2 linked regions of the Caenorhabditis elegans genome follow. The protein of the gene in region 1 interacts with the protein of each later gene in a pairwise test. Each region holds a gene or a part of one and is shown in the gene's direction. Other genes may lie near its edges.

Region 1 (7,831 bases):
TTTGAGGAACAAGCTGAAAATCGATAAATGGTGTCAGTGGGCGGGGGGCATGGCAAAAACAACACATAGACTTGTGCCACACACACACACACACACACATCCCACACACAATGTTTGTTTGTCTCCGGAGAGGCGGTGGACGCTGACGAAGGGAGGCCTCCCTGAAAGCGATAACAACCGTACTTGTTGCGGCTGCGTCTCTTCGGCGGCCAGCGGCCCCTCGTCTTCGCTCATACTCTGCTTCCCGGGGGGTCGACGCTGCAACACACACGCGCGCACCGAGGCACTGCGCGGAACGGCCGAGACGCAGAAACGCACACAGACTTGCCTTTCGTCTAACACTTATCAAACGCTAGGCAATTGTCTGTGTTGGTTTTACCGTCGGTTTTTCCTTGCTTTTTTCCGAGGACTTCCTTTTTTTCCCAATTTTCTTTGATTTCAAGATAATAATGTTTTTTAATTTGCATACTTGCCATATTTTTTTTTCTTTTTTTTTGTGTTGTTTTCCGTGCCCATATATCTTGCTAGAAAAATCTGAAAATACAGCAGTACACGACAAAAACTTGTTCGATGGTTTGCCGCGATAATCGTCCCGAAAAGTAGCTGAATTAGAAAATGAGAGGGTGCTAGACAGAGATGGAGGAGGGGCCTGTGAATGTCTGTCTGAACACTTGAACTTTGCTTCTTTCTCTGAAACACCAGACTCATTTTGTCTAGATTTTCAGCTTCTTAATTTTTGTTTGGAAATTTCTGGTATGAATCTGATGCTTTAACAATTGTTTGAGTCTTATGTTTAAAAACATACGTGTAGCTAAAACTGTAAATTGGACGAATTTATCATCGACAAAAGCTCAGTTGCACTGACCAAAATTAAGCTTGCACTGACCAAATTCAAGTTGACACCAGGGGTGGGCGGCAAACAAAATTTTCCGCCGAATTGATTATTCGTTAGTTCTCAATTAAAAAAATACTTTAAAAACAATATTCCACTGTAATAAGTGTTATTTTGGAGAATAAGTGTAATTTTTTTTCCAACTTAAAATATTTAGAGATTCTGAATTTTTATTCTGGCAAAAAAGTGTTGGCCGGTAATTCCAAATTCAAAATTTTCGGCAGATCAAAACTCAGGGAGTTGCCGAAATAAACATTTTTTGAATAAAATTAGCAATCGGCCCTTTCGACAATTGCCGCCCACCCATGGTTTGCACTGACAAAATTTCGTTTTGCACTGACAAAAACCTTTGCACTGACAAAATTTCGTGTTGCACTGACCAAAAACAGATTTTCCTCAAAGCTATATGCAAAAACCTTGTTTTTCAAATGTTAATCCTCATCTGTTTTTGTTGGAAATCAAGTATTGCAGTTTCCTCGTTGTTTTCTAGTCAAAAGAGAGAAGACGTTCGCCTTTTTTTTGTTTTCGCACCGCGCCGCTGCTTCGATTCATTTTCAGTCTGTAATTCGAGCACGCTCGTTGCTAGGCGGTTTTGTGCGCCAAAAACAGCAAATAAAAACAGGAACACTGGAGTCGGCCAGTATTTTCGAATAATCATGTTCTAATCATATTCTTCCTCTTATTATATGTGCATAAAAATCCAGTAAATGGTAAAATTTTCAATTTCAGATCCATCTCGATGGAGGATCTCACACCAACTAACACGTCGCTCGACACCACAACTACTAACAATGACACGACATCGGATCGTGAAGCGGCGCCAACGGTGAGGAACTAGTTTCTAGACGAACATCGGAATGCGGCTTAAAGTTCGGGTGCACTTATCAAACTAGACCCGTTTTTTAGACCCTCTTTCAAAGCGGGGAACTGCAATACACTTTTTGAACCTAAAACCTAGATTTTTGGTGTTCTAAATTCTTTTGTGAATTGGAGAGCCAATTCAACCGGAAAACTCTTTTTTATAGGGAAAACGTTTTGCCACGTAGCAGATAAGTTAAATAGAAAATATTTTAAAATATTTTTTTTTGTCTAGGAAAAATTGATAAAGCACCTGGTCCAATTTTCAGAACGTTCCAATTTTACCTACAATACAAAATTGGCCGGCAAGCTTATGGCTTCTGTTTGCCTACTTCTAGCTTGAACATTCTAAGGCTCCGTAGCGAAAAAAATTTTTTAGGCTTTTTTTAAATAAATGTTTGGGCCGGAACACTTAACCGAATAGCATGATGAAACGCTCTAAAACTTGAATTTGAAAATTTGCAGTTGATGCTTTAATATAAAAGTTTTGAGGTTTCACCTGCCTAAGATCGTTTTAGCATAAATATGTAGATGACCGAGAGTATACAATTAAATATTAATTAAATATGAATTTCGAAATATGAATTTTGGTTGACTTCCATTATGTTTTTTTTTTCACATTTTACAACTATTCTAGGCAAAAATGAAAAAAAAAAACTTGTAGAATAATTTTCAAAATTTTATTTTCCAGACGCTCAACTTAACACCAACAGCAAGTGAATCGGAGAACAGCTTATCCCCAGTCACCGCCGAAGATCTCATAGCTAAAAGCATTAAAGAAGGATGTCCGAAGAGAACTTCCAACGACTTCATGTTTCTTCAGAGTATGGGCGAAGGAGCCTACAGCCAGGTTGGTGAACGAGGAAATTTCCAGAAATGTGTGCAACTAGTATCAGAGTACAAGGAAAAGCTTGGAAAATACTCGGAATGCCTGAATTAGTGCTTGAAGTAAGCTTGCCCATTTTTTTCGGAACATCGGTGATTCTTTCTTGGCAATTCAACTGATAGTACTGGTATTACCTAGCCGCAAAAAATTTGCAGTTTTTGCCACAAATCTATCTTGACACAATATACCTCACTATTAGTTAAATGCTGAGTTTTTATCGATTTTTATAGCTTTTTTTACTTATGTATATTCAAAATGTATGTGTTTTTCAAATCTTTTTAAAGGTTTAGTACGGTCATTAAAAAAAATATTTAAAAATCATCTTCATGGCGCTAAAATGAGCGACTATCATAAGAAATTAGAAAATTTGGAAAATTGGTTTATTTTTTTCTAGTCCTTGAATTTTCACCTTCCCATTTTTATGCTCTAACTGTGTTTCAAATACTCATATTCCAACATTGTAGGAATTCTAGAATTGCTTTAGATTTCTCTTTGTTTTCCAATCTTTTTTACTGTAAGTTATCATCATTTTGGCACCGAAAGGTTTTTTTAGGTAATTTTACCACTGACCGTAACACTTTTCCAATGGCGTATACAATTTGAATTTAGCAACAAAACAAAAAAAAACAAAAATCGTACCAAGACGGACTACTGTATTTTTTGGCGGAAAAATCGGCCAATTTTGCGTCAGGGTTACACGACTGTGGGAATTGAACTCGCACTATGTAGGCCCATTCATGTTGTCTCCCCCTGTCCAATCTCTTTTCTCCACAACACTTTAATCTCATTTCGCATGGAGAAGAGAAAGAAGAAGATGCAGAAAACGACGACATCGTCATAGAATTGTCTACACAAACCTAGTGTTCTGCGTCTCTTACACAAAATAAGCCACGCGTCTAGCACTATCAACATTCGCAAACAGCTATACATGTGCTTGTTGAAGGGAAAAACGAGACGTTTGTGTGTATTGGGGAGGGGTAATGTAACCGTGGTTGTTGGGTTCATCAAATTGACAGCGCACAGGGATTTGATTTTGAACGTGTTATCGCTTTGGACCCTGAGGCATGTTTCCTACACCTAGAACAACTACCGTAATGAATCTTTACATTGACTTTCGGAGAGAAGGGTTTGTACTCTGACTATGTATAACTCAAGAAGAATGTAGGGAATTTATGTCGTTGGAACTTCCAATTTGGAAGTACAGTTTTTTGGAAATTAAATTTTTGATTCTTAAAATAGTCGACTTGAAATAATTTTTCGTTATTTATCAATCCAATGAGTTGAAAAAGTGAATGGAAATTTCTTGACTAAATCCGTGGAAAATTATCTAGTTTTGTTTTTCAGATAAGTTGTAAACACTTTGATAGTTAAAATGATTGTTTGTAGTGATCAGAAGCAGAAAATCTGACTAGTTTCCGCCCCCCCCCCCTATACATATGATGCACACTTAAAATGTCCAAGTGGTGTTTGAATAGCAAATCTTGAAAACGTAAAAACAATAATTATTTTCTATATCTGTAAATATTTTCAACGAATTTTCAGCTTCCAAATTTTGGTCGTTTTTGGATCTTTTTACAAAAAAAATATTTTATCAACTGACACTGATAATATTTTCTGCCTCATATTAAAAAATATTCCTCTAGCAAAAACTGTAAGTTGAACGAATTTACAATAAAAAACACAGCTGCACTGACCAAAAAACAATTACACTGGCCAAAATTGAGCTTGCACTGACCGAGTTTAGCGACCATATCTTTTTTGTCTAATTTGTGGTGTGTGCGGCGAATTCGGCAAAATTGTCGAGCTCGGAAAACAGAAAATTTGGCAAATTTACCGCAAACTCTTCAACTGAAGCCACTATTGCACATTAACTGTCAAAATTCTGGATATAATTAGCAAAACAATAAGTAACATTTCTGAAAAATTAGAACCTTTCCCGCATTGTATTTGTAGACGCACCTAAAAAATTTCAAAACACCAAAAAACAAGCTTCCAGTAAAACCCTAATATTCCAGGTATTCCGATGTCGCGAAGTGGCAACAGATGCGATGTTCGCCGTCAAAGTGCTCCAGAAGTCGTACCTCAACCGCCATCAAAAAATGGACGCAATCATTCGCGAGAAGAATATCTTAACATACCTGTCACAAGAATGCGGTGGTCATCCGTTTGTCACACAGCTCTACACACATTTTCACGACCAGGCTAGAATTTGTGAGTTTTTTCCAGCGCCAAGGTTCTTTTCTGAACCCATCAAAATCCACTTGTGATCATTTTATTCCAATAAAAACGTCAACTTAAAAAAAAAATTAAACCTCAATTAATATTCAGATTTCGTGATCGGACTTGTTGAAAATGGTGATCTTGGCGAGTCGCTGTGCCATTTTGGATCATTCGACATGCTCACCTCAAAATTCTTTGCCTCGGAAATCCTCACCGGACTGCAATTCCTACACGACAACAAAATTGTGCACAGAGACATGAAGCCGGACAATGTGCTCATCCAGAAAGACGGTCACATTCTCATCACAGATTTTGGAAGTGCCCAGGCGTTTGGCGGTCTCCAACTGTCACAGGAGGGCTTTACGGATGCGAATCAGGCAAGCTCGCGATCTTCGGATTCTGGATCGCCGCCGCCAACTCGATTCTATTCGGATGAGGAGGGTAAGGTTTTCGGAAATTTGACTGAAACAATTTTTGCCAGTTCCAGAAGAGAACACTGCTCGACGTACCACATTTGTTGGAACTGCTCTCTACGTGAGCCCGGAGATGCTAGCTGACGGAGATGTGGGACCACAGTAAGCTCCGATTCTTTGTAGAATGTCAAATTTAACAGTTGGATTTCAGAACCGACATTTGGGGATTGGGATGTATCCTTTTCCAGTGTCTAGCCGGACAGCCACCATTCAGAGCCGTCAACCAGTACCATCTTTTGAAAAGAATCCAGGAGTTGGATTTCTCGTTCCCAGAAGGATTTCCAGAGGAAGCGTCGGAAATTATCGCAAAGATTTTGGTAGGTTGACATGAAACTTTAAAAACTGAATACGTAATTTTCAACTTACAGGTGCGCGACCCGAGTACCCGTATCACCAGTCAAGAACTTATGGCTCACAAGTTTTTTGAAAACGTTGACTGGGTGAACATTGCAAATATCAAGCCACCAGTCCTGCACGCCTACATTCCAGCCACATTTGGCGAGCCGGAGTACTACTCTAACATTGGGCCTGTCGAGCCGGGACTTGATGATCGTGCCTTGTTCCGTTTGATGAATTTGGGAAATGATGCTAGCGCATCACAGCCATCAACGTGAGTTTGAAGCATTTTTTTCTTGCATTAAAAGTTTTACCTTGCACTGACCAAAATTTATTGAAACTATTAATTATTTGATTCTGATTAACAATGACCAAAAGATTTGAACTGACAAAGTGCAAATTTGCACCGACCAAAAAACAGTTTGCACTGACCACCTCTTCATTTGCACTGACCACCTCTTCATTTGCACTGACCAACTTTTCATTTGCACTGACCATCTCTTCATTTGCACTGACCAACTTTTCATTTGCAATTCTGGCAATGATTCTTTTGCATCTACTGATCAAAAATTGATTCAAATCAATTAATTTTCTTTGACAGTACTATGCCTTATTCAAGGAGATGCTGATCTGAAAATTCTCAATAGTTGATAAAAATTACTAACCCCTTAGAAAGTTTCAGACCGTCTAACGTGGAACATCGCGGAGACCCATTTGTTTCGGAAATTGCACCGTGAGTGATTTGCACCTAATTGGTTATTTTTAATAATCATTAAATTATAGACGCGCCAATTCGGAAGCCGAAAAGAACCGCGCCGCACGTGCGCAGAAGCTCGAAGAGCAACGTGTCAAAAACCCATTCCACATCTTCACCAACAACTCGCTCATTTTGAAACAAGGATATTTGGAAAAGAAGCGAGGATTGTTTGCCAGACGCCGAATGTTCCTGTTGACCGAAGGACCGCATCTCTTGTACATTGATGTGCCGAATCTTGTGCTCAAAGGAGAGGTACCATGGACGCCGTGCATGCAGGTGGAGCTAAAAAACTCGGGAACTTTCTTTATACATACGGTAGGTCAGAATAATCATAGCTGTCTATCTCATTATAGTACTCAATGAATCTGAAAATTTCAAATTTTCAGCCCAACCGCGTCTACTACTTGTTTGATCTCGAAAAGAAAGCAGATGAGTGGTGTAAGGCTATCAATGATGTTCGCAAGCGGTACTCGGTGACTATCGAAAAGACTTTTAACTCTGCGATGCGTGACGGAACATTTGGCAGCATTTATGGAAAGAAAAAGTCCAGAAAGGTATGAATTACTGGAAGGCCCCCCTCACTGAGTTTCCAGCAAGTTCAGAGTTTTTTATTGGAATTTTTGCCAATTTTCATTAGACTTTAGAGCCTATTGCTATTTTGTGGACAGGTTTAAACATTTTCAAAAAAAAATTGAGAAATGTCTGAAAAAATTTGGAGTGTGACAGTTTTCTGAATTTTGAAAATTCTGTTCTCAAAATTGGATTTTTACAGAGCTTGTTTCGAGATTTCATAATCCTTCAAAAGAATATAGAATATTTGTGTTCAACTTTTCTTGTCAAAATATTTTTTTTGGACAATCTAGATTCTGGAAAATTTTCAAAAAAAGATAATCTCTAAACAAAACTAAATTCAAAATGTTCTAAAGGTTCTTTATTTTCCATGCAACTCTAAAATCTTCCCGTATATTTTTTTGGAAAGTCTTATGATGTTTAGACGGTTTAAATTTTTTGATGATTTAAATTTTTTAGGGGTGGTCTATAATTTTGGACCACCCTGTATAATTATGGACCACCATGTACACTTATAGACCACCCAGTAACAAGCATTTTTGGACCACCACGCAAATCTTATTATTATGGACCACCCAAACTTAGAACACCTTCAATACTTCTTTTCTGTTCAAAAAATGATCAACTTGCTGAAAAAAAATTTTTTGTAGGAAATGATGCGTGAACAGAAGGCGCTGCGCCGCAAACAAGAAAAGGAGGAGAAAAAGGCGCTAAAAGCCGAGCAAGTGAGCAAGAAGCTTTCAATGCAAATGGACAAGAAGTCGCCTTGAAGGCTCACCTCCCTTCTACTCCCCACAAAATCACCATCAAACAAATCACACTTTTGTATCATTTTGCGT
Region 2 (6,172 bases), on another chromosome or scaffold:
TTGAGTAGGTGTTTGTCGTGTAAACAAAAAACATTTTCTAGAAGATGTGGCTCACGGATATACTTTTTTCAGAATTCAATGTCGTATGACTTCAAATAATATCTTCTGATTCGAGTTTAGAGTTTTGTAAAGGGGATTTGAAAGATTTACAAAAAAATTCCAATACAAAAGAATATGTTAATCTGGACGATAAAAAAAACTAAATATGGGTTGAGAATTTGTGGAAACGCTAGAAATACAATAATTTGTGATCATGGGGACATAGAAAAATCAGTTTTCCAAAATTGAGGTTCATTGAAAAATTATGAAAAAATATAATTTTAAAAAACAATTTTGAATTATTTTTCTACATTCCAAAATTAAAAATTCAATTTTAAAACGAAAATTGACATTTGATATGCCAATGTCGAGAAATGGGTGCCATACGGTATTTATTTTTTTAAATATTAAAAACAAGTTTTAACCATTATTTTTTGCCACTACATAAATCTAGGGTTACGAGTTTGAATTTAAAAAAAACGGATTTTCTCAATTTTTTAGGCAGAGTGGCATGAGTATTAAAACGTATGTGTCTTTACTGATTTTTTGAGCGTTTTTGTTTAAATATTTTGTCAAAGTATTTGCAGCGTTATGTTATAATTATCAGAAAAAAATCTTAGCAAATCTAGTCTCTAACGTTCGTCTTTTCGATTTAAACGTATGATTAAGAATATTTAAAATTTACTTTCTAGGCTTTTAGGGGCTACATGCAAATTAAAATCTTACCTGTATAGACGATACTGATCTTTGCGTACGAGCATTGGCGCCCAACATCACGATTTTCCGCATTGGCATCTTGTCGATGGGGCGGGGTCTTCTGAAAGGCGAGAGTTGGGAGATTTAGAGAAGTAAACGAACAGAGTGAAAAGAAAAGAGTTACGCGTGTGGTGAAGAGCACAGATAGACGGATTTGACGAGCTGCCACGCCAGCCGGATGGAGGAGAAGATGAAAAAGCACGGGATATTCGGACCAAGCAAGCACATACATATAAACTAAGTAGTAAGTTAGAAAAGATGTCAGGAAAAAATAAAGAAAATTTTCAATAGAATATGTCCAACCATGTTAGGTATTTGAACTTGAATGTTGAATTAATAAAATTTAGAAATTTGAAGTCAGTTGTAGGAACTTCGGAGAAAGTTTTTGATTTTTGGAATTAGTTATTTTTTAAGTATTTTATTTTAATTTGAAACAAATGTTTCAACAAAGAAGAATTTAGCACTTTCTGTGTAGGAAACTTGATACCTCAAAATTTGGCACATATTGATTTTCGTTTTTTTTTTGTTCTTTTTTGAAATAGGACAAATATTTTTTGTTTCTTAAAAAATGTGAGTAAAAATATATATAGTTTGGGGAAGAAATGTTGTATTGTAATATATTTATGGTGAACTATTTTGCTTATTTTTGTTTGTTATTTTAAAAATTAAATATTTAAAAATAGAAACGAGTTTCAAATAAATTTTGCATCATTTTTGAGTGCAAAATTTATTTCTAAAAAACGATGACTATTTGCAATGACTCAGCGCAAAACATGAAACGTTCAAAAGATGTCGATACACATTACGTGTAAACGAAACTACACATACAAAAGAGGTCAACCAGATAGTTTGTGAGAGGGCAGCTGTGAAGAGCTAGTAGCACTCTAAACAACTAGACAACTACTAGAGGTGCTCTTGCTCTTTCGAAAAGTTATTTCATTTCAACGTAAACATCCTGGCATTCTGTAGAATTAGTTTATCCAGGCATGACACATTCTTTAATTTAAGTTTCCATTGTTTTTCATTACACTCAACTATTTTTCATTTCCTTTCTCATATTTAACCATCCATTTCTCTAACCGGTCACTTTTCTTTTCCGTCTCTCCAACATTTCCTCTAATACGCTGCGTCTCTTCTCCATAACGTCTGAGAGAACATCGATTGTACAGATAAACAGCCGGAGCTAAACCTTGTTTTTCTGTGAAATTCTCGAAAGTTCTACATATTCTGGTGCATGAAACGACTTCAGTTCGTGTCAACTTTACTCGTTTTAACTACAAGAACTTTGGCAAAAGGAATGGCATGGAGATCCAGTGGTTCGACTAATTCGGAGCTCATCGATAATTTGAGAAGTAGGTTTTTTTAATCGAAAATTTAAATATTGAACTTCAAAAACACATGTATATGAAGTTTTTATAGGCCTATAGAGAAATTTAAAGAAATAATTGTGAAAAAGTAAATATTTCTTGTAATATAATCAACAATTAGCAAGAAAAGTTAAGCAAAAAAAGCAACTAGACAAGTTCGAAATGTATTGAATTCACAATTGTAAGAAACCAAAAATTCTCAAAACAAACGCGAGGATAGCCTGAAATTTGAGAGCTTCAACACTTGAATAAGAAGGAAAACAGGCAGTGTCTGAGAAAGAAGACACGAGACACAAACTCAATTAATCCTAAATTGGTCAAAACGAAAGGCTAATGGTCTATTCTAGTTCTGTATAATTACGGGGAACGCGAGCACAAAACTCTTGTCAAAAATGAAAAAAATCTAAAATTTCAGATAATCGAGTGTTTGCCAGTCAAAGAGCCTACGATGCGATGAAATCCGTTGATCGTGGAGATTTTGCTCCGAGAGCTCCTTATGAAGACGCTCCTCAACGAATTGGATATAATGCAACGGTTTCTGCACCTCACATGGTAAGAATTTGAGGAAATTGTTGGAAAAAAGTAAGAAAGTATTTATAATTGAAAGAAAAGCTTTAATTTAAATTCCCACACAACAAAAAAAAACTGCCAACACCTGCAAATTCTGCCAACTGAGTTTTAAGCAGCTCTTTTCCTACTCGCTTTCGCCCATTATCATTTTTTCATTGACAGCACGCAGCTGCTCTCGACTACCTACAAAACCACCTGGTTGCCGGTGCCAAAGCTCTTGACGTTGGCTCAGGAAGTGGATATTTGACAGTTTGTATGGCAATGATGGTATAAAAACTGCATAGATTTAGATAATTGGAATTTAAAAAAAAGTAATTTAGGTTGGCCGAAATGGCACGGTTGTTGGAATTGAACATATGCCACAGCTGGTCGAATTAAGCGAGAAAAATATCAGAAAGCATCACAGTGAACAATTGGAACGTGGAAATGTTATCATTATTGAGGTAAATTTTAAAAAAATCGAAGAATTCGAACATTTTGCACTACCATATGGATTGATTTTTAATAGCTGTACTCACCTAGGACTGTTTTGGGAAGATAAAAAATGAAACTGAAACTATCTAGCATGGTCACATAGACGTGGATTTTTTTTTTAAATACAGCTGGAAAAACTAGTACACGTATTAGTAGTGGAATGCCTTTTCTGTTTCTCTCTCTTGTCTACAACTGTCTGCGCAGGCGCACAATGTTTTTTGATTGATTTTCAAAATTAAATATTAAAAGGCAATATACGTGGCTATCAGACTTTTAAAAAACTTTTTTTTATTGCCAGAAGTTCAAACTGTTCGAGAATTCGGTAGAAGAAAATCTATTTTTTGAAATCTGCGCATACACCCATGCAGTTTTATTATTTTGCGAGTATTCATTTAGTTACAATTTTCAGGTTTTTATCAACGTCATTGAATAAGTAAATAATCTTCTGAAAAACTGTTAAAAATTTGCAGTAAATGAAATCGAAAAGTATATTTGCTATATTTTAAATTAAAAACACATTTTGTGTAGTGTAGATTTTTGAGAATATATAAAAGTCGAAAAACCAGAAACATTGACCAAAAAGGAGAATGACACACAATCAAGCGTACACAAAACTTGTTACAAAAAGCGAAACTTTTTCGAAAAAAAAAACGAATTTAAAAACTACCTCATATTTCTAGGGAGACGGTCGTCAAGGATTCGCGGAAAAGGCTCCATACAATGCAATTCACGTGGGAGCAGCTTCAAAAGGAGTCCCCAAAGCGGTACGTGACTTTGTGGTCGAGAAGAAATAAAATGAAAAAAAACGCGAAATTCGGTTCCCCCTTTTTTCTTGCTGTGCCGTCCGGATCACATGCACACATGCACAAATTGAATCATGAATCGGCAATGAGGAGGTGTCTCTCTATATGCCCTTTTTTGACCAATAAAAAAAGAAAGGAAGAGCCTCTCGGCAGAAATATTGATAATTCTGTTTCGAAATTCTGAAGATCAGATACAGACAAATATGTTTGCAAGAGTACCACGTTGAATATTAGCATAATACGTTCAATTGAACAGATGATGCAAAATTCGATGAAAGTGTCAAACCAAATCGTAGCCTATTTGAATTTCAAATTTTTGGCAATTGTGACCAAATCCTACAATTAACCAGATTGGAAACATAGAAGGTGCATAAAACAGGGCAACATTCCTACATGTGTAATATGATCCAAAATCTAGATAAACTATCAGAGTTAATTATTGTCAAAGCTAATTGAAAGTTTAAAAAAATTATGTCGTAAAGTTGGTGTAGTGCCAGTGGGGATTTTGTCTAAATACATTTATAATGATCCAAGACGGCCGAATATCATAATAAAACACTTCAAAAAAATTTAGATTTTCCATAATTTTCGGTCACAGTTTTGGCAAATTGCCAAAATTAATATCCAAAGAAATGTCGCATGTTCCGACTCCTACATTGTTTTAGTACGAATAATTAAAACAGAATTACAGTATAAAAATGTAGGAAAATGTTTATTTCGGTCGACTTCCAAAATTATGAGTGGCGAAAACTGAGTAATTATCCCTTTAGTCATTTAGCTCCATATGAGTAGTTTTTAACACTTTCCCCACTAGCGCTGCTCCATTTTTTAATTATGCAATTAATATTTCAGCTCACGGATCAACTGGCTGAAGGTGGCAGAATGATGATTCCGGTTGAACAAGTCGACGGAAATCAGGTTAGCTTTCAATTCATAATACATAGCATATTATGCATTAAACCACTTTCAGGTCTTCATGCAAATCGATAAGATCAATGGAAAAATTGAGCAAAAGATTGTGGAACACGTGATCTACGTGCCATTGACAAGTCGCGAAGAACAATGGAACCGCAATTAAATTTCAATGTTTTCTCCCTTTGTACATATACTCAACTTGTGCATATTGTATACCATCTCTATTTATTTTTGATTCAGGTTTTCTTTTGAAATGTTGCGTGTACATATAAACCGTGTTCTTCTGTCAAAAAATTAGTGAACTATTTCTTCAAATGCTTTTTTTTTCTAGGAACCCTTACTCTCGTCTACGTCAAGTGTCATTCATTAGCGAGAAGAGGAGCCGAGTTTTTGAGAAGACATAACTCAGTTTCTTCTTGTTTTACGTTTTCCTACTACACTATGTCGTTTACTTTTTTATCGTTTCTGTTTTGGTCAACAATCGAAAACTTAAATGTCCTTCACTATCTGGATTGTCCATTTTGAGCAATGATTGACAAGTCACCGGAATCATTTCATCTTGTCCTTTTCCGGTAAAAGCACTTAATTGTTGTTTTGGATAGCGTAGGGATCTTTGATCGAGTGCTATTTTCTTGCAGAAAAAGTTCATTTAGAGTTTTCTTTAAAAAATAAAGCCTTCGAGTCGGGTATTGTAGACACAGGGGTTGACAGATGCGCAAAAATTGAGCTGAACCTTTACATTAATCGAACAGATCTTTCGTGCCTCGAAAATGAAAAGCAATGTCTTATTCCCATTTTTTCCGAAAAAAAGAATCCCAAAAAGAAACTGATTTGTGTCAAAAGAAGAACCAAACAAACCGGAAAAAAAACAAGAAAGTGGACAGTCATGAATTAAATCGACCGTACCCACCATGTGACCATAATTTACGATTTTTAAAATACGGTACCCGGTCTCGACCCGACAAATTTTGTTAAATTCAAAAAATTTATCGGTTTTATCTAAAATTTGGGTGTTTTCATTATTTTCACTGACTTTTTTTTTCAGTTTCCTTGAAAACTCAATAAAGTTCCGCAGAAACGAAGATTCTAAGTTACAGTACTCTTTAAAGGCGCACAGCATCTAGCACTGAACAAAAATTTGTCATGGTGAGACCCGTAGTATTGTAGCGAAAAATACAAAATTGGATGTGCAGAACTTGCCGGTTACTGAAAATCCGAATATTTGAAAAACGGCACATTTTTCTAGAG

What was found.
Region 2: the proteins of pdk-1 (region 1) and pcm-1 interact in a two-hybrid assay, tested with the Caenorhabditis elegans proteins (one large-scale study listed by BioGRID).

What each region holds. Positions count from the first base shown.
Region 1 is NC_003284.9:1,319,732-1,327,562, forward strand, and holds the start of pdk-1 (3-phosphoinositide-dependent protein kinase 1), read left to right. Parts: upstream 1-1,612; 5' UTR 1,613-1,631; coding exon 1,632-1,718; intron 1,719-2,441; coding exon 2,442-2,600; intron 2,601-4,651; coding exon 4,652-4,847; intron 4,848-4,964; coding exon 4,965-5,297; intron 5,298-5,337; coding exon 5,338-5,431; intron 5,432-5,480; coding exon 5,481-5,646; intron 5,647-5,697; coding exon 5,698-5,939; intron 5,940-6,341; coding exon 6,342-6,398; intron 6,399-6,448; coding exon 6,449-6,737; intron 6,738-6,808; coding exon 6,809-6,976; intron 6,977-7,642; coding exon 7,643-7,762; 3' UTR 7,763-7,831. UniProt on the Caenorhabditis elegans protein: Involved in the daf-2/insulin receptor-like transduction pathway, which controls longevity and prevents developmental arrest at the dauer stage. Phosphorylates and activates sgk-1, akt-1 and akt-2.
Region 2 is NC_003283.11:5,959,625-5,965,796, reverse strand, and holds pcm-1 (Protein-L-isoaspartate O-methyltransferase), read left to right. Parts: upstream 1-1,914; 5' UTR 1,915-2,092; coding exon 2,093-2,147; intron 2,148-2,577; coding exon 2,578-2,714; intron 2,715-2,894; coding exon 2,895-2,999; intron 3,000-3,052; coding exon 3,053-3,175; intron 3,176-3,873; coding exon of another isoform or gene 3,874-3,886; coding exon 3,887-3,970; intron 3,971-4,861; coding exon 4,862-4,927; intron 4,928-4,979; coding exon 4,980-5,087; 3' UTR 5,088-5,597; downstream 5,598-6,172. Other genes in the region: mcp-1 (GDP-D-glucose phosphorylase 1), read right to left, coding at 766-856, 3,874-3,923. UniProt on the Caenorhabditis elegans protein: Initiates the repair of damaged proteins by catalyzing methyl esterification of L-isoaspartyl and D-aspartyl residues produced by spontaneous isomerization and racemization of L-aspartyl and L-asparaginyl residues in aging peptides and proteins.